Linked DNA regions of Caenorhabditis elegans. The protein of the gene in region 1 purifies or fractionates together with the protein of each later gene. This does not show direct contact. Each region holds a gene or a part of one and is shown in the gene's direction. Other genes may lie near its edges.

Region 1 (6,279 bases):
ACAATGCGGATCCAGTGAGAACTCCCTGTACAGTTGTTGCAATAACCAAAAGCCGGAATCCATTTAGAGGGCCGTAACCCTGAATATTATATTGTTTACAAAGTTATTCCGGATAGAGTACCGTGCTCAGCTGATAGTAGATAGCCAATGGTGCAACAAGTCCACTGAAAATAGCAGCTCCAACAGGAGGAATGAGAAAGGAGATGAATGGAGCAAGAATGTATCCACCGAGCAATGAGGACAACGAGAAGACAGTCAAGATTACGGAAGAGAGAACAAATGTTTCAATAATTGGCTTGGAAGAAATTTGTCTTGGTGACTAGAAAGCAGTATTTTAGATATTGATAATCATGAGACTGCACCTACCAAGTCAACCAAAGTGTTGACAATACGAACAAATGAATCCTCTTCAACTCCACTGTTAGATTTAGAAGATCTTTGTGAAACAGATGATCTTTTTGATCTATGATTAACAGTAGAGATTGAGCTCATTGCCTGCTCCGCGAGTCTACGTCCTCGTTCAGGAAGCTGCTCCAACTCACGCCCAAACTGTTGCATCGTCTGAAAGACAAACCCTACGAATGTTCATCATCAGTAGCAACATACAGCAATTGCAATGTCAATACCAGCTTCCGTGGCTAATGCAACGCATCCAGCATTTGCCAAGAGTGCTGGATCAGCTGCTGGTCCTTCTTGTTGTGGTGTTACAGCAGGATCGCTCATCGTCATTTTCAGTGTTTTTTCGTGAATCAACTGATCGAGTGTAGAGAATATCGAGTAATAAAGTTTGAAGGTATTGATTATCGATCAAACGATTTTACACGTATTTCAATTTTTCTGTGTTTTTATGTTCATCACGTTTAAAAGTGGAGTTCGGACAATGATTATTTTATTTTAATATCGCTAAAGAATAACTTTTTAAAATATCGTTAATTTCTCTGTTTGAATTTCCTCAAAATTAAGTTAAAATTAAGTTATACGCTTAGGCCGATGGGCTGCCAAATATTTACAGTGTGAATGGGTTACTGTAGAAACACTTGACGATCAAATTTCGTACGTTGCAGGATAAGTTTATAGTGTAGAATTAAAGCATTATAGTGAATTTATATTCAAATGACGACTTTCGTTTTCTCAAAAGACAGTTACATGGCTCCAAAGTGACCAGAAAAACTTTTGTGGCTAATTATTATTCAAACTTCCGCGCAAGTTTCCTAGGCCGCGCAATCGCGTACTCCTCTCGGACAACTAGATAATTATTTCTCTCAATTTTTCGCGTTTTTGCATGTTTTTTGCTTAATCCGAATCAGCACAATTCAAAGTTTCAGTTTTGCAAATATCAATCTAAACTCTTTTTCAGTTTTGGTTGTGTTCCAAAGTTAAAAAAAAAACAATTCTGTCGCTCAAGTTTATTTTTCAAAAGTAGTTATCAATCCTCGCTTTTAGTCTTCTCTTTCTCATATTTCTTTTCCTTTTTCTCACATTCACTTGATCTTTTGATTGGAACTGATATGCATTGCGTCGGTACAGCCTGCTTCTTTGCTCTCTCCCAGCATCTACAAATTAGCAGTTTAAATAAGATAGATCTAAATTCAGAATCGAAATACCGCCATGCAGACATTCGCTCATTGTGCCACTCTTTTCCAACTAAAGTGTAAATGACATAAAGTGAATCGCCGTCTACTGTGTCAACCAGTTTTTTGATAGTGGCCTGGAAACAAGATTTCATTTGAAACAAATGTTGACTGTTACAAACCGTTGTCTCGTTACCAGGTTTCAGTATATCCGAGCATTCTTCGATTCTAATCCTCTTGTTATTTGTGCATTTTACCTTCAATATTTTTTTTGAAAATAGTTGTAGTATCAGATGAATAACTTACCTTGAACAAAATAGCGCGATTCGAGTGATTTTTCAATGAAAGCTCTTTAGAGTTTATCTGCAAAAGTCTACATGTGCACTGATTGCTTATAGAATCTGGCAAAACGTACGTCGAATGGAATTGGCGACACTTCGAAAGCATGAAAATCGTTTGGAAATCCGGGAAATTCTTTTGAAGCTTCCATGTATACTTTGCGAAATCGAAAATGACTAGAGTGGGTATGACACCCGTGGTATTATTTATACGTGAGAAATTATTTGTTTTGCAGTCCTGAGAAAGGGTGTCAATTCCCGTGTCCCGTTTGTCCCGTTTGTCCCGTTGTCCCGTTTTTGGGGTGTTTTCACGGGAACGGGAATTCCCGTTGTCCCGTTTTTAAAATTTTCACGGGAACGGGAGTTCCCGCTGTCCCGTTTTTGTCATTTTTACGGGAACGGGACGTCTTTTGTCCCGTTTTTGAGCGTTTTCACGGGAACGGGATGTCCCGTTGTCCCGTTTTTTGGGTGTTTTCGCGGGAACGGGAATTCCCGTTGTCCCGTTTTTGTCATTTTCACGGGAACGGGAATTCCCGTTGTCCCGTTTTTGTAATTTTTACGGGACACTGACACCCTTGGTCCTGAGTCGCGACTTCGTCACAAGTGAAACCTTTTCAGCTACCGTATCCAAGAATACGGTAGCTCTTTATTGTTACAATTCACGATTTTCTCTCGACAATTGACACTTGTCTTAAATATCTACACTAATTCATAGTTTTTTAATCAAAGACTATCAGAAAATATTTGATATTACTTAATTGTTTGTTTTTAAAAAATCGGAATAAATTCAATCAAATTCAAAAAATCAGCTTTCAGTTTTTCCTCCTTCCTCTATTTGTTTTAAGAAAAATGATTTTCAGAATTATACGCATTTCTGGCAGATTTTGTGTACAATATCCTTTTGCTTTATTTTTCGCGCCAGTTGTCCATCCTATCCAAACGAGCGCCAGTGTCAGCGTCTGCGCCTCTTCAGTCCGCCCATCCTTCTCGTTTTCTTCCCTATCGCTCTCCGAGTTTTTTTTTCCTTTTTTCAATTTTTTGGCTCTATCGATACATCATTGTTCATTTTAACAGTGTGTATCTACCGAACATCATTTTTCACGAGTCAAGAGTGATCCAGTTGAGTATAAATATCAAAAGAAAAAAAGTGTAGTTTTGATTTTTCAATTTTTTGCGGAGAGTGTAGTTCTCTTTAGATGCATATATTTTAATGTTTTTTCATAAACTTCTTTGAACTAGTTTTCGATCACAGCTCTCCAAATTCGTTCGTTCTTTAATTTGAAGCTTTGCAGGAATGTCTTCCTTGTCTCGGTCTCTTCTCATCAGCCGTTCGGCGGCTCCGGTCGTCGCTACCATGTCTACGAAGCCTCGTGCTCACATCGACGGGCACGTACCATCACCACTGCAACAACTTTCCGAAGAGGAAAGCTCAATTGTTGGAACCGTTCGGCGTTTTGCTGTGAATGTTATCAAGCCGCTTGTTCGTGAAATGGACGATAAGTCTCAAATGCATCAATCTGTAATTACCGGAACTTTTGAAAATGGGGTATATAAAATTAATGGATTTAAACATCTACTAAACTCTATTTTCAGCTGATGGGAATCGAGATTCCAGAAAAGTATGGTGGACCAGGATCATCATTCTTCGACGCTGTTCTCGTCATTGAAGAGCTCGCAAAAGTTGATCCATCTGTTTCTGTATTCGTAGATGTGCAGAACACTTTGGTTGCCCCGTTGATTATTCAGTTGGGAACCGAGGAGCAAAAGCAAAAGTATCTTCCAAAAATTGTGACCGAAGCTATTGGATCATTTGCTCTTTCCGAGACCGGATCTGGATCTGATGCATTTGCATTGAAGACAACTGCAAAGAAAGATGGAGATGACTTTGTGATCTCTGGATCAAAGATGTGGATTACCAATGCTGGGCATGCTCAGTTCTTTTTAGTTTTCGCAAATGCTGATTCAGCCAAAGGATACAAGGGAATCACGTGTTTCCTGGTTGACAGAAATCAAGAAGGAGTATCTGTTGGAAAGAAGGAAGACAAGCTCGGAATCCGTGCATCTTCTACATGCTCCGTTCATTTTGACAACGTTCGGGTCCACAAGTCGTCAATTCTGGGAGAATATGGAAAAGGTGAAGCTTGTTTTTGAGAAATCAAAAATAACTTTCTAATTATTATAGGATACAAATATGCGATCGAGTGCCTGAATGCTGGACGTATCGGAATCGGAGCACAAATGTTAGGATTGGCTCAAGGCTGTTTCGATCAAACAATTCCATATCTTCAACAAAGAGAACAGTTCGGGCAGAGACTTATAGATTTCCAGGTATTATTTGTCAAAAGACTGAAATTAAAATATTGTAATTATCAAAAATTTTCAGGGAATGCAACACCAAATCGGACAAACACGAATGGAAATTGAAGCTGCTCGTCTTCTGGTCTACAACGCTGCTCGCATGAAGCAGAATGGACTTCCATTCGTTCGTGAAGCAGCCATGGCCAAATTGTTTGCATCACAAGTTGCCACTACAGCCACTTCGAAATGTGTGGAATGGCTTGGAGGAGTTGGATTCACCAAGGAATTCCCAGTTGAAAAATTCTACCGCGACTCAAAAATTGGAACAATTTACGAAGGAACGTCCAACATTCAGCTCAATACCATTGCCAAGCTCGTTGACATCGAATATCAACAAAAGGCTTAATTGATTATAATAATCATCTCCTACGGCGTTTTCAGTAGTGAACAATCGAACGTATTTATTTCTATTCGTTTATATTTTTCAGAATGAACAATTTGCAACTTAGTATCGAGTTAATATTTTACCAAACTAGTATAAAAAGGAAAAATTCATCATTTACAGTTATAAAGAATAAGTGCAGTAGAATAATTCCATGCACAGAGATTAGTAGATGGATGTGTCTTCTTCACGCATATCATCATCGTCATCATTGTCTTCATTTTCGTCGTCTTCGTGTATTGTTGTTCCACGATTAATAATTTTCAACGCCTTCTGAGTTCCCTTTTCTAACGAAATACTTGTATTCTTGTTACCACGATACTGCAAGATATTTAGTTGCTTGCATGAAATTTCCCAATCTTTTTTAAACCTACCGTAGAGTTGTTCATAGATGAGGACTTTTTCAGTCTGGAACTAGGTCTCGCTTGCATCATGGAAAGGTGCTGAACGTATTTGAAGTTCGTTTCAATATCCTTTGCCTTCGTTTGTTCTAGACGCGGTGAATTGAATGTGGAATTGTTTCTGAAAAATTAATGCTTTTTTAAAACTAATTATTTTGTATAAATTTACCCTCTGCTCATTGGAGAGTCTTCAACAGGTTTTGGCATAATTGAAGCTCTTGTTCCTCCTCTCTTCTTTGTAACTATTGGTGTTCTGAGAGCGAGCAATGATTGATCAGCAGCCACATCTTCTGGTTGATAGTCTTCCATTGACTCAACTCCACTTTGCAGATCTTCAGCTCTATGATTTCCACCTTCTCTCAGTTCCTCATGCATCTTTACATTTTCCTTCACTCTGGCCACAGCTCCACGTCTTCTTTTCTGTTCAACTTCTTCGACTTGTTTCAACACTTCTTCATTTTGCTCTGGTTCTACCCATTTGAGTCTTGTGATAGCAATCTGTCTGACTACTTCTGGTTCAACGACACCTTCCTTTGCCAAGAGGCGTAAAACTTCTGTCCAATCTGCATCACTTGCAGAAGGCTTCTTCAACGCAATCACACGTTTCAAACGATCCAGATCTTGTTTTCTCCATGTAATTTTCTTTGCAACTGGAGTTACACAAGAACGACGAGGACGATTACATGCTATACTATCATTGAGATCACGGTTATCTTCCAAAGATGCTCTCTTCTTTTTGCGAGCTTGGGCTGGTGACTTAGTTGAATTAGCCGGTTTTGAGCGCGTGGCCTGCTGAAAGCTATATGATATTTTCTTGCGACGAGGACGTAATACAGGAGGCATCTTGACTAATAGCAAATTAGAAAATGAATATTATTTGTCAGGTTTTTTTCACGGTCGTTTAACCAAATAAATAATTAAAACCACTCACCTTTTTCACAAATTTATCCTTTCTCGCATTGCTTCTCTTTGGTATTCCGTCTCCAAACATCATTGAATTATCCAGAAGCTCTTGGTTTTCTATGTCCCATTCATTTAAAGACTCTTCAGCATCGGACGAATTAGATCTATGACGATATGATGAAGATGACGCCTTTTGTGATTTTTGAAGACGATTCCGTAATTCTTTCTCACGACGTACAATCGCATTCAATTTTTCTTCGTCCTCGCCACTTCTGGAGTTTGCATGATTTCGCCGTCTGCCATAGTCATTGTAATCACGAGGTCCT
Region 2 (6,020 bases), on another chromosome or scaffold:
TGAATGCTCCACATGGTACTGATGCCAACGGAGTTCCACAACCAAAACGTCGTCGCCTTCGACGTCATCCAGTTTGGGTTTATTTCAAGGATCTTGAAGATAGAGTGAGTCTATCGCTGTGAAGTAATAGTTGCAATATTGTATGTTTTTCAGATGGTTGGATGTACAAACTGCGAGTTCAGAACTGGATCCGCTTTCTCTACAAACTTGAAAATGCACTTGAAGGCTCATCACAAGGATGATTATGAGAAAGTTCTTCAATTGGAAGAAGAAATGAGATTAGAAGAAGGATGTTTTGGACCTGGAAATAAATTTAAAACTGAACTTATCGATTATATCAGAGGTGGAGGTAATGTGACAACACCACCAACTCCAAACTCTTCAAGTTTCCCATCAACACCGAAAACACCTCAATTAGTACAACAAATTATTAGTCAATCATTCGCAAGATCTCAATCACCAAATGTTATTCAAAATGGAGAAATCAAGATTAAGAAAGAGTGGTTAGTTATTAATAATACAATTATTTGAAACAAAAGCTTAACTTCAATAATTTCAGTGAGGATGATATGTTCAGTGGTCTCTCATCCACTGACAAACTTGCTGCTCTTGTTGGAATTGCTGGACAAGAAGTGAAGAAGGAGGAAGCTATGGTTGGTATTTTTAATGTTCGAGCCCTATAGTTGAAAATTATGATCATTTCAGCCAGCAAACTTTGAAGAGTTCCGCCAACGCCTTCTTGCAAACAGCTCGCTCTCAAGTTTCCTAGGACAGTCTACTGCTCAGCCAATTGCTGTTGATCTAAACGGAAGTGTTATTGCTTCTGAAACTAAGTCACCGTGCTCTTCAAATGAAGATGATCGGAAGCAAGAAAGAGATAAAGCTTTGGCAAGGTAAGAGCAACTTTTTTTTTTGGTAATTTCTACTTGTGAAGGTGCAAAATTTTGCATGTTTTGCTCCAAAAGTGCAATAGCAAAAATGCAATTCCAAAAATTCAAATCAGTTATGAAATTGTTAAACACCACATCCATAGTTCCAAAATAACCAAATATCATAGTAAAACATCTTACAAAAGTTTTTGAAATATTTTATTGACGGCCAAAAAAAGGGGCAATTACTAGTTTTTTGCCACGTTTTGAGAAAACTGTCACATGTTCGAATCCGTACAATTTATTTGCAATATTTGTCAAGATATTAGTGCCATTTCCTATTTCAGAATATTCTTTTATCAGACTATAAATCAATTGTTTTTCAGACTCTGGGCAGACAACGAAACTCTTCTCACAAATACTCACTTCCGCGAGTTTGTACATTGCCTTGCTCCAGAATACGAGATCCCTGACGTTGATATTCTGGCAACTAGCCTTGTGGATCAATACTAAACAATTCTAGAAAATGATTCTCCTGTTTCTTTTTTCTCAATATTCTCCATTCCTACACCTATGTATGTGCATTTATTCGCGTTTTAGAGCTGAATTCGTTGTTCTTTTTTTCCATTTAGTAGATGCATTCTCGCATTCATGTTTTTGGGTCTTTTACGTCTTTCATCAAACTTTCTTCTCACATTGCCGCAATATTCTGATAGGATTCTGTCTCCATTCTGATACCTCATAGCCCCACACACACACCCCCACACCTGATTTGTACGTGGCCATTGCTTCCCCTTTTCTAACTTTTATGTCGGTGAACTTTTCCCCCTTTCTGAAAATATTCCACTTCTTTATTGTCATCTAAAAGATTGTCTGGAATTCAAAAACCCGTGTTTGTAAAAATGTGACTCCCGATTCGCGCCGATTCATAAGCCCCTCCCTCCCAAACAATCTTTCCACTTTTTTTGTCTCACTATTGAAATCATTCAAAGAATTCTTTCACTGCATGCACCGAGATCTATTAATAATTAGAAGGATGCTGTCATCCCTCTACTGGCACACATTCCCTCGAATCTAATCAAATCTTTCATTCATCATTCGTCGTTTTTTTTTTCGTTCTTTTTTGTCTGTTCTCAAACATATATATTTTTTGTGTGTCCTCGAATGTTCGCCCGAAAAAATGAACATTTTTCTATTGCTCAGGGGGTTTTTTTCAGTAGAGCCATCATTGTAATATGTAAAAAGTTTTTTTTTCGTAAATTCGAATTATCCTGTATCATCCGATCAATCGTTTTGCGTGGTGTGACAACAATATTTCAAATTTTTATTTTCGTTTTGAAGAAAATAAAATTTTAATTGAATAAACTTTTGAATCAATTGATTTTATCAATAAAATTACAGGGATATTACGAAGACGCGACAGTTTGGGATTTTTGTACCAAAAATACGGTACCTGATCTCCACATGATAAATTTTTGTTATCTGCGAAAAGATGTGCGCCTTTAAAAAGTACTGTATTTTTCAACTCTCGTTGCTACGGAACTTTCATTGATTTTTCATAATTCTTCGATGATGAACAAAAATCGTGAAAAAAACAACAAAAAAATTTCAAATCACAGTACTCATTGAAGCCCTTTTCACATTTAACAAAAATATTTATGTCGTGTCGAGACCGGGTACCGTACTTTTGAAACAAAAATCTCAAAATACCGCGTCTGGATAATATGGAAAACATTTATATTTTTTAATTTCTAAATATCGGTTATTTCAATTTTAAAGGCATATTTTTGCATTCCTAGGCTTGAAATATAAGTATTTAAACCCTATAAATTCGCGCTGCAACTTTTAAAATTTGAAAAAGCGCGCATTTCAAGATAGCGTGGCAAGACCCAACTTCTAAAATGCGTGCGCCTTTGACAATCACGTTTTCACTTTCTTGTTCAGTCGCTACTGGCACCTTCGTCGCCGCTATTTATCGAGAATTAGTTTCTCAAATTTATTTTTTTATTTTCAAAAGATTTTTAAATGGTTTAATCATGTGCAATCGATATTTTTTCCACGTAAAAAGAAGTATAATTACTCTCTTCTTAATTTTTTGAAATTTCGTAACCATCGATTTATTGGTGCGTGTTCCTGAAAAATACACCACGTTTTTGCTTAATTTCATTCAAATTAATCGATAATTCTATATTTATTTCTAGATAGATGGAGCAATCCTCCCTACTTCTGAAGAAACAGCTGGCAGGTGAGTTGGGATTAAACGTGATCTATGATCAAAACTAACTTTTTTCTGTTTCCAGACATGCGCAGAGTTCCAGTCGACGGATTCTCGGCAGGTCTCGTCGATGACAATGACATCTACAAATGGGAAGTCCTGGTGATCGGACCACCAGATACTCTCTAGTAAGTTGTTTGTTTGTGAAAATTGTAATTAGTTTTTTCTTGCAGCGAGGGAGGTTTCTTCAAGGCTATTCTCGACTTTCCAAGGGATTACCCACAAAAACCACCAAAGATGAAGTTCATTTCGGAAATTTGGCATCCAAACAGTTAGTATTTACTGAAACAAGTCGATTTTACACATAAAATATTTCAGTTGACAAGGAAGGTAACGTGTGCATCTCGATTCTTCACGATCCCGGAGATGATAAGTGGGGTTACGAACGTCCGGAAGAGCGTTGGCTGCCTGTGCATACTGTCGAGACGATCCTTCTTTCTGTCATCTCAATGCTCACGGATCCTAACTTTGAATCTCCTGCAAACGTTGATGCAGCGGTTCGTCTAAACAATGAAAAATAACCGAAATATTTTAATTTTTTCAGAAAATGCAACGTGAAAACTACGCCGAGTTCAAAAAGAAAGTTGCTCAATGTGTTCGCAGAAGTCAAGAAGAATGATTTGAACATTGCATCAACAGAGAAGAAGCATTAATTTAACTCGTCGTTCATATGAAACTATCCACTTTGATCTTCTTTTTCTTACTCATTCACCCCATTTTTTGACACCACGTGTTTCTAATTTCTTTCCTCATAAGCGTTGGACTCGTTACTTTTTATTCCCCTTAACATTTTTTTGAACGCAAAACCTGTGAATTTGCTTCGTAATTTTTTTTTGTCTAGTGGTGGTGCTCTTTTCCTTTTGTTAACATCCAAACTATAGTTACAACTATGCAACTCGTTTTTTTTCTGAGAGCGGTACCACATGTTTATTTGTTTGGTATGAATTCACAATCCTCGTGATGCTACTTCTTATCTTTTATGAGAAAATAAAATTTTTTTTTCACTAAATACAATCAATTTCATCTCTGATAAATATGTCATTCGTTCGAAATACATTAGACGGAAAATAACGAAAACCGTTCCGCGTGCCTCGCAATTGCAAAAACTGCGTGCGAGCGTTGCAAAAAGAGGCGGGGCTTCATTTGGAAAATATTTAAAAATTATTTTTTTAATTTGATCTGTTTCAGTTATTAAAAGTGATTTTCAGCTCGAAATGGGAAAGAAAAATGAAAAGATAGTAGAAGAAGCTGAAAAGGTAGAAGCAGAAACAATGGAAGTCGACGAACAACCACAGGAAACCCCACAAGTGGACGACGAAGAAGATTTGAACGTACCTTCAAAAAAGAAAATGGAAATTGTAAGTTTTCTACACTATTCCTCTAAAAAAATGTTCTGTTTTACAGCTGGACCCAAAAAGTTTCGAACAAGATCCATCTAATTTGACGCTTATCATGTACGAGGAAGATCACACTATTGGAAATTCAATCAAGCACATTTTGAGCAGAATGTATGTTTTACGAACGAATCGATCAGATGTAATTGTTGTTTAATTTCAGGGATGAAGTTGAATTTTGTGGTTACAACGTTCCACATCCTCTGGAAGACAAGATTTTGTTCAGAGTGCAGACAAAGGATGGTATTAATGCTCTGGAAGTTCTCGCGAAGGCATTCGAAAGTGTTGAACAAATTTTTTCCACGATTAGAGGGAAATTTGAAGAGTCTTATGAGCAAAGCCAATCGTAAAATTGCTATTCATTTTGTCATTATTTGTTATCCATTTTGTTGTTTTGATGTTTTTGTTTGACTTCACCCATTTCAATCTGAAATGAAAAATTTGTATTGGCAAAGATAATTATTTGTGATTCACGTTTTTATGTTTTATTCAAAATATGCCATATTTTTGTTTGCATCAAAGATTTTCTCAATCCAAATCTCCAGATGTCCGGTACGGGTGCCTTGATGACTGTCCACGTTGGACAGTGCGGAAATCAGCTTGCTCAAGCCTTCTGGAAATCGATGGTCGACGAACATGGAATCAATGAGTAGGGAATAAATTTGAGGCACCGACAATTTCAATTAGGCAAAATTCGATATACCACAGTCCGAAATGTGAAAACTATTGCAATTTTTATATTTCAATACTGAAATGCTGCAATTGTGAATTGTTCTCGTGAATCGACATGATTGAAAACAAAATATGAATTATTTTACTTTTGTTTGAGATGAAACAAACATTTTTGCTAAGTTAAATAATTTAAGACGCAATTTATTCAAGGTCATAATTCAGCCTCATAATTTTGATAAATATAACAATTTTTTTCGTTTTCAGACGTGGACAAACAACTCACGAAGACGATATGAATGATAAGAAAGATCTATTGTTCTACCAGGCTGATGACGATCATTATGTGCCAAGAGCAGTTCTAGTCGATCTAGAACCTCGTGTAATCAACGGAATGATGCAGTCTCCAAACTTTTCGAATCTTTTCAATACGGACAATATATTCATGTCCGATCACGGAGGTGGTGCTGGAAATAATTGGGCAAGTGGATATTGTCAAGGACAGTGAGTTGTATTTCTTTAATTGAAAATCAATGATAAATAATATTTAAGAGAAGTTCAAGAGAAGATAATGGATATCATCATTCGAGAGGCTGAAAATACGAACAATTTGGATGGAATTCTATTTACTCATAGTGTTTCTGGAGGAACTGGATCTGGAACGGGATCTCTCTTGCTCGAAAGGCTTCGCGAAGCATTTCCGAAGAAAGTTATTCAAACTTACAGTGTTTTTGCAAATAGTGACACCAGTACTGACGTTGTTGTTCATCCATATAACTGGGTACTTTCTATGCAAAGACTTATTGAGAATCC
Region 3 (5,866 bases), on another chromosome or scaffold:
CCCGAAAATTATGAAAAAATTTTTAAACTTGTGAAAAATTATTAAAAACCGAAAAAAAGTTCTCAACAAATTCCGAAAAAGCAAACAAAAAATTGCGAAAAATTCTTAAAAACCGAGAATTTCAATTCCGGCAATTTGCCGATTTGCCAGAAATGTTCAATTCCGGCAAATTACCGATTTGCCGGGAATTACAATTCCTGATAATCTGACGATTTGCCCGAAATTTGCCGGTAAATTCTATCCCGGCAATTTGCCAATTTGCCGGAAATTTTAAACTCCGGCAATTTGCTGATTTGCCTGAAATTTTCAATTCCGGCAATTCGCCGATAATTCAAAATCATGAAAAAACTAAATTTTCCATAATTTTTTTTCAATTTTTCTCTAAATTTCAGAAAAACACGCCATCAACATCGAATTCAATCACTCTAAATCCATCTTCTCGTGGTGATCAAACCCAATTTATTGTACATCTACAACGAACAATTGAACGATTGGAAAAAGAAAAAGCTGCGTTAACGGAGAAATTGACAATGCGAGAGGATGAGATTAAAGTGTTTTCAGTGGAATTTGTGAATATTCAAAAAGAAAATGTTAAACTAATGAAGGAGAACAAAGCTAAAGAATCACAAATTTCAAACCAATCGATTCAAGTTCGAAATTCGTGGAAATTCGCAGATTTATTCAAGAAAGAGCTGCAGAAAAGTCGGAAAGACGTGTCGGAAGTGAAATGGAAAATTGATAAAATCGAAAAAAAAGTCGGCATCAAAAAGCCTACACCAAGGAAGAAGCCTGATGTAAAGCTGATAAATCCAGAGGATATTTCATTGATGTCTGACAGAACCCAGGATGGGGAAGATTCAAGTGACTTCGGAAGTCCTCTAGCGAAATATCTGAAGCCTGATCAGCCCAGCACAAGTTCTGCGTGCTATGGGAAGCCGTTCTATTTTGAAAGCACCAGCAGCAGCTCCAGAAAGCCCATCACAGCATCTCCAGGCCCTCCAGGCCGAACACAAATTTCGGATCAGCTGAACACTGGAGAAGTTAGATATGTGGTGAATTCAGGAAAACCATTCAATTTTAGCTCGGAAAGTAACTCCAGGAACTTGAAGCTTATTCCAGGATATATTAAGAGACCAGAATTTCGCTATATCAAGCCAGAAGGCTTCACCTCAGCCTCTTACAAAGCTCAGTCAGAAGGAATGAGCTCGTTTTTGAAGACTGGAAGCTCTGCAACTCCTGAAAATTCGAAGAAATCAGCCCATTTTGACATGCCGGATATTTCCTCAACGCCTTACAAATCTCACGTGGTGGTGGAATCGGACGAAATGAATAGTTCTTCGAGTACAATTGGAGGATTTGAGTCAGAAAAGAAAGATAATGGAGCTCTCGGAAGCCAGAAATCTCCTGTTAGTTATAACGAAAAAAATTGCTAAAAAATTTACTTAAAATTCCGCGAAATTTTGCCAATCTGTCAGTATCGATTTTTTCAATTTTTCAGGAAAAAAAAGTCAAATTTTAAGGTTTTTTCAATAAAAAACTTTTGAAAATGAAAAAATCCGCCAAGACGATTTGTTCGATGGGGCGCGCTTGCATTATTTTTTGTTTTTGTTTTTTTGTCCTAATTATTTCACTGAATTCCTTCATGTTTTGTGTATTTTTACTGAAAATTTGAAAAGCTAATGAACAATTTGCATTTATCTTGACTTTTCATTCAAATTTTCAGTGAAAATTCACAAAAAATGAAGAAGTTCAGAGAATTGATGAGAAAAAAAAAACAAAAATTAAAATAATGCAAGCGCGCTCTATTGAACAAAGTCTCTTGGCGGTAATTTGAATATGAAACTGGCAAAAATGGAAAATTATTGCAGATGCCCGACATTGCCACAGCACTTCACAATATATTTGATTCAAAAGAAGTTCAAAGTAGTTCTTCAACCACCGGAAGCTCTGCACCGCCCGAAAATTCGAAGAAATCAGATCATTTTGACATGCCGGATATCTCCTCAACTCTTTACAGATCTCGTGTTGAGCCAATCAGCAGCTCTTCCAGTGGATCTACCAGCACAAGTGCTCCGAGATATGTGCCAAAACCAATAGCCCAGCCAGCTCGATATGCAATTCCAAGTCCGGGTGCTTTGAATGCCTTAAGAGTGAGTGACAGCCGGAATCGCTCAGTTTACTGGAGCGCACTTGCAATAATACATACTTTTTTTTCAGCGTCCCCCAGAATGGAAAGGTCAGCGCCGACATGCGCCGAGTTACGTGAAATCCAGAGAAAGCGTCACGTTCAGAGGATGCTCCAGATTTCCAGTCACATCACCGCATTTCGCGAAAGCTCACCTGGAACCTGTGACTGATGGAAAAGATGATTCGAAAATTGTCAAATATCGATTTGTACCGAAGCGACCAGATTTTGATGGAGAACGCGAACATAAGAAGTGACAAATCTTGGTTTTTTTGTGTTTAAGGCTTTTAGAGCATTGATAATAAATTTTTTGTTGGATTTGCTGTGTTTTTTTGCGGAAATACACAGATTTTTGCAGAAAAAGTTAAGAAAAAACTGCTACAGTTTGCCCTTTTCCACTTTAAATTGCCGCTTAAAAACTCCTCGAAAAGAGTGTGCAAAGCATGGAGACGCAGACACGCACGAAAATCACGCCAGCACGTTACTGGCGCACTTGAGTCATGTGCTGGCGCATTTCTTGTCATGATGAAATTTATTAATTTTTTCTTCGTTTTTTACCAATTTCCGCCGATTTTTCGTTTTTTATTCCTAATTTCTTCAAATTTTGGCAATTTCAGACAATATGCTGCGCAAAGGAGTGTCTTTCGTCGGCCAGGCTGTTCAACAAACGCTGTAAGTTCCTTGAATTTTGAATAACGGTGAAAATCAAATTTTTTCATTGCAGGAAAACTCAGAAAAACTTGCGCATTCAAAGATTCAGCGCCACGGCATCACAATCATCGGAAGAAGTCAATTATGAGATTAGAAAAGACGGAAAGAGACTCAGAGGTAGCGATTTTTACTCTAAAACAAATTCTAAATTCTAAAAACTGATATAATATTTAAAAAAAAACCAGGAGCCGACTATGAAGAAATTGTTCTTACTTCGATTGCCGGCGAGGACAAGACACAGATTCCAAAGGGTGCTTTTGATGTTCTTCTCAAGGAATACGACGATTTGCAGGCCGAAAGCTTGGATTTTAAGGATAAATATCAAAGATCGCTTGCTGAAACTGAAAATGTTCGTCGGCGAGGTATCAAGCAAACCGACGATGCTAAGGTTTTTGCAATCCAATCATTCTGCAAAGATTTACTTGAGGTTCGATTTTTAAAATCAAAATCAACCGAAAAACAATTAAAATAATTCCAAATTTGCAGGTCTCCGATATTCTCGACATTGCCGTCAAGTCTGTGAAGCCAGAAGATCTGGAATCGGGAGGAAAAGCTCTGAAAGATCTTTTCGAAGGAGTTTCAATGACCCGTACTGTCATGGCAAAGACATTCGCAAAGCATGGCCTTGTGACCGTGGATCCAACCAATGAAAAGTTCGACCCCAATCTCCACGAAGCCGTTTTCCAGATTCCATCTGCTAATGTTAGTGCTAACCGCCCGAATTTTCCGAAATAAAAGAGCCAAATCTTGTATTTTTTGAACAATTTGGGCTTATTTAATCCTTTTTAAATGCCACAAAATGCTTAATTTCCTCCATTTTCAGGCCAAACAACCTGTCGGACATATCGAAGTGTGTACAAAGATCGGCTACAGCCTGAAAGAACGTCCAATTCGGCCTGCTCAAGTTGGAGTCGTCTCTAAATAATTTTCTTTTAATTTTCCTCTGGTTTTTTAATGTTTTTCCGGTTTTTTGTAGTTTTTTTTTGAATAGCTAGTAATTTTTATTGTTTTTCTGTTTTTTCCGTTATTTCATCACACTCCAATCACTTTTTCCCGCCGTTTTATAGGATTCGAATGAACAATTTTTGAGTTTCAATTCCCTTTTTTCCACTTTTTCGATAGGTTTTCAGCCATTTTTCATATATTTTTTAATTTTAAACAGGAAAAAAGCTTCTTTTTCATTTAAAACCGTAAAATTTTCAGAATGATCGACACAAACCTTCTTCGGGTGACAGTGTGCGATGAAGGAGAGCTCGAAAAGAGCACAACGCATTTTATTGGGTACCAAATTTTGGATATTTCAAGCGAAAAATGCGATTTTCCAAGCACAAATCGCTTTGTGTCGATTTACGCAGCTCGTGTACTCCTCGAGGAGAAGATTTTTATAGTTTTTGGAGAAAATGCTCAATTTTTGACCAATTTAACATTAAAATTGTCATTTTAATTATTTTAAATGAAAATCGACTACAAATCATCGTTTCCAGCAGTTTTCCATATTAAAAATGCTGAATTTCAGCATAAAAATTACCAAAAAAGCGAAAAATCGGCGATTTGAACGTTAAACTTTTAAAAAACAGCGAAAATGTAAAATCTAGCATTTTAGTCGAAAACTAGTATTTTTCTCCTCGGGGAGTACACGAGCTGCGTAAATCTACATTAGGCGATTTGAGCTTGGAAATTGATTTTTTTTACTCAAAATTGAAAAATTCTGCGAAAAATTTCGAATTTTTTTGCAAATTTCTAAAAAAAAACTTAAATTTCAGCTCCAAAATTATACAAAACTTAATTTTTTTCATTTCCAGATCTCGAAAAATAGAGCCGGAGCAATGGATTACGTGGGCGAGCGAATGCAAATACTTGCCCGAATCTGACGCTGTTGCTCTTTGTGCAACGTAAGAAAAAAGCAATTTTCAGCAATTTTCGGCTCAAAAACTGAACATTTTTTCAGATTAATCGATCGTCTATCACTGGAAGCCAATGTGGTGCCCGTTTCGTCGCCTGTCACAATTTGTGGAGATATTCATGGACAATTTTATGATTTACTCGAATTATTCAAAACTGGTACGGAATCGGATTCGAATTGGAAATGTCACAAAATTGGATGAAAAATTCAAAAAATCAGCCGAAAAATCGAGAAACTTTCCGGGAAAATCGGAAAATTAGCCAAAAAAAAATCGAGAAATTGGATAAAAAAATTCGTAAATTGAATGAAAAATTCAAAAGTTGAATGAAAAATTCGAAAATTTGCCGGAAAATCGAAAAAATCGATAATGTGTCGATTTACGCAGCTCGTGTACTCCTCGAGGAGGAGAATTTCACTGTTTTCGGGCCATTTTTCGCTTTTTTAACATTAAAATTGCCTTTTTCAGATGGAAAAGTATTTTACTACTGCTAAAAACGAAGAATTTTCATATTTTCAACAATAGAAACCTAGATTTTCGCCTAGAAATGGCGATTTAAGTGTTTTTTACAACAAGATCGCGAAAAAATAATTAAAAATCAAGCATTTTAGCCGGAAAATTGTGATACACTTCTCCTCGTGGAGAACACAGCTGCGTAAATCGACACAGGGCCGTGGAAGAGGCCATACGGTTTTTTTTCTGTTTTCAAACATGAAAAAAACTCGAAAAATTCATTTTTACAGCTAATTTTCGATTTTTCGACGGAAGAAGAAGTTTTGGCGACGTTTTATGTGAAAAATTCAAATATTTTGGCAATTTTGAGTGTTTTTTGTGGAAAAAGGGTGCAAAATTTGAAAATTTATAATTTTTTCAAGTTTTTCTGAAAAAAAAACAATCGTTTAAATTTATTAATTTGAAAAATCGTCGAAAATCAATAATTTCAGCAAAAAAACTCTAAAATTCTTCTCCTCGGGGAGTACACGGGCTGCGTAAATCGACACGAAACGATTTTTCATCTAAATTTAGAATATTTCACCGAAAAATCGGTATAAATCTAGAAAAAATCACT

What was found. Proteins that work in one complex are often made in the same cells at the same time.
Region 2: the proteins of acdh-3 (region 1) and ubc-7 fractionate together in Caenorhabditis elegans (co-fractionation; one large-scale study listed by BioGRID). This does not show direct contact.
Region 3: the proteins of acdh-3 (region 1) and C34C12.8 fractionate together in Caenorhabditis elegans (co-fractionation; one large-scale study listed by BioGRID). This does not show direct contact.

Annotation. Positions count from the first base shown.
Region 1 is NC_003279.8:6,462,632-6,468,910, reverse strand, and holds acdh-3 (Short/branched chain specific acyl-CoA dehydrogenase, mitochondrial), read left to right. Parts: upstream 1-3,201; 5' UTR 3,202-3,203; coding exon 3,204-3,455; intron 3,456-3,502; coding exon 3,503-4,043; intron 4,044-4,091; coding exon 4,092-4,237; intron 4,238-4,292; coding exon 4,293-4,613; 3' UTR 4,614-4,714; downstream 4,715-6,279. Other genes in the region: K06A5.2 (DUF389 domain membrane protein), read right to left, coding at 1-79, 122-319, 367-561, 607-729; K06A5.3 (Major sperm protein), read right to left, coding at 1,427-1,553, 1,605-1,708, 1,754-1,828, 1,878-1,934, 1,987-2,061; knl-2 (Kinetochore null protein 2), read right to left, coding at 4,815-4,970, 5,024-5,171, 5,220-5,842, 5,982-6,279.
Region 2 is NC_003281.10:9,628,218-9,634,237, reverse strand, and holds ubc-7 (putative ubiquitin-conjugating enzyme E2 7), read left to right. Parts: upstream 1-3,070; 5' UTR 3,071-3,074; coding exon 3,075-3,114; intron 3,115-3,169; coding exon 3,170-3,272; intron 3,273-3,317; coding exon 3,318-3,415; intron 3,416-3,462; coding exon 3,463-3,641; intron 3,642-3,688; coding exon 3,689-3,763; 3' UTR 3,764-4,141; downstream 4,142-6,020. Other genes in the region: gei-13 (Gex-3-interacting protein 13), read left to right, coding at 1-104, 154-503, 560-653, 706-893, 1,256-1,382; rpac-19 (putative DNA-directed RNA polymerases I and III subunit RPAC2), read left to right, coding at 4,359-4,502, 4,549-4,652, 4,702-4,888; tbg-1 (Tubulin gamma chain), read left to right, coding at 5,084-5,187, 5,475-5,711, 5,760-6,020. UniProt on the Caenorhabditis elegans protein: Catalyzes the covalent attachment of ubiquitin to other proteins.
Region 3 is NC_003281.10:3,457,604-3,463,469, forward strand, and holds C34C12.8 (GrpE protein homolog, mitochondrial), read left to right. Parts: upstream 1-2,802; 5' UTR 2,803-2,807; coding exon 2,808-2,857; intron 2,858-2,909; coding exon 2,910-3,013; intron 3,014-3,081; coding exon 3,082-3,323; intron 3,324-3,382; coding exon 3,383-3,598; intron 3,599-3,719; coding exon 3,720-3,821; 3' UTR 3,822-3,987; downstream 3,988-5,866. Other genes in the region: C34C12.2 (Fibronectin type-III domain-containing protein), read left to right, coding at 393-1,406, 1,869-2,150, 2,218-2,442; pph-6 (Serine/threonine-protein phosphatase 6 catalytic subunit), read left to right, coding at 4,101-4,177, 4,699-4,788, 4,845-4,957. UniProt on the Caenorhabditis elegans protein: Essential component of the PAM complex, a complex required for the translocation of transit peptide-containing proteins from the inner membrane into the mitochondrial matrix in an ATP-dependent manner.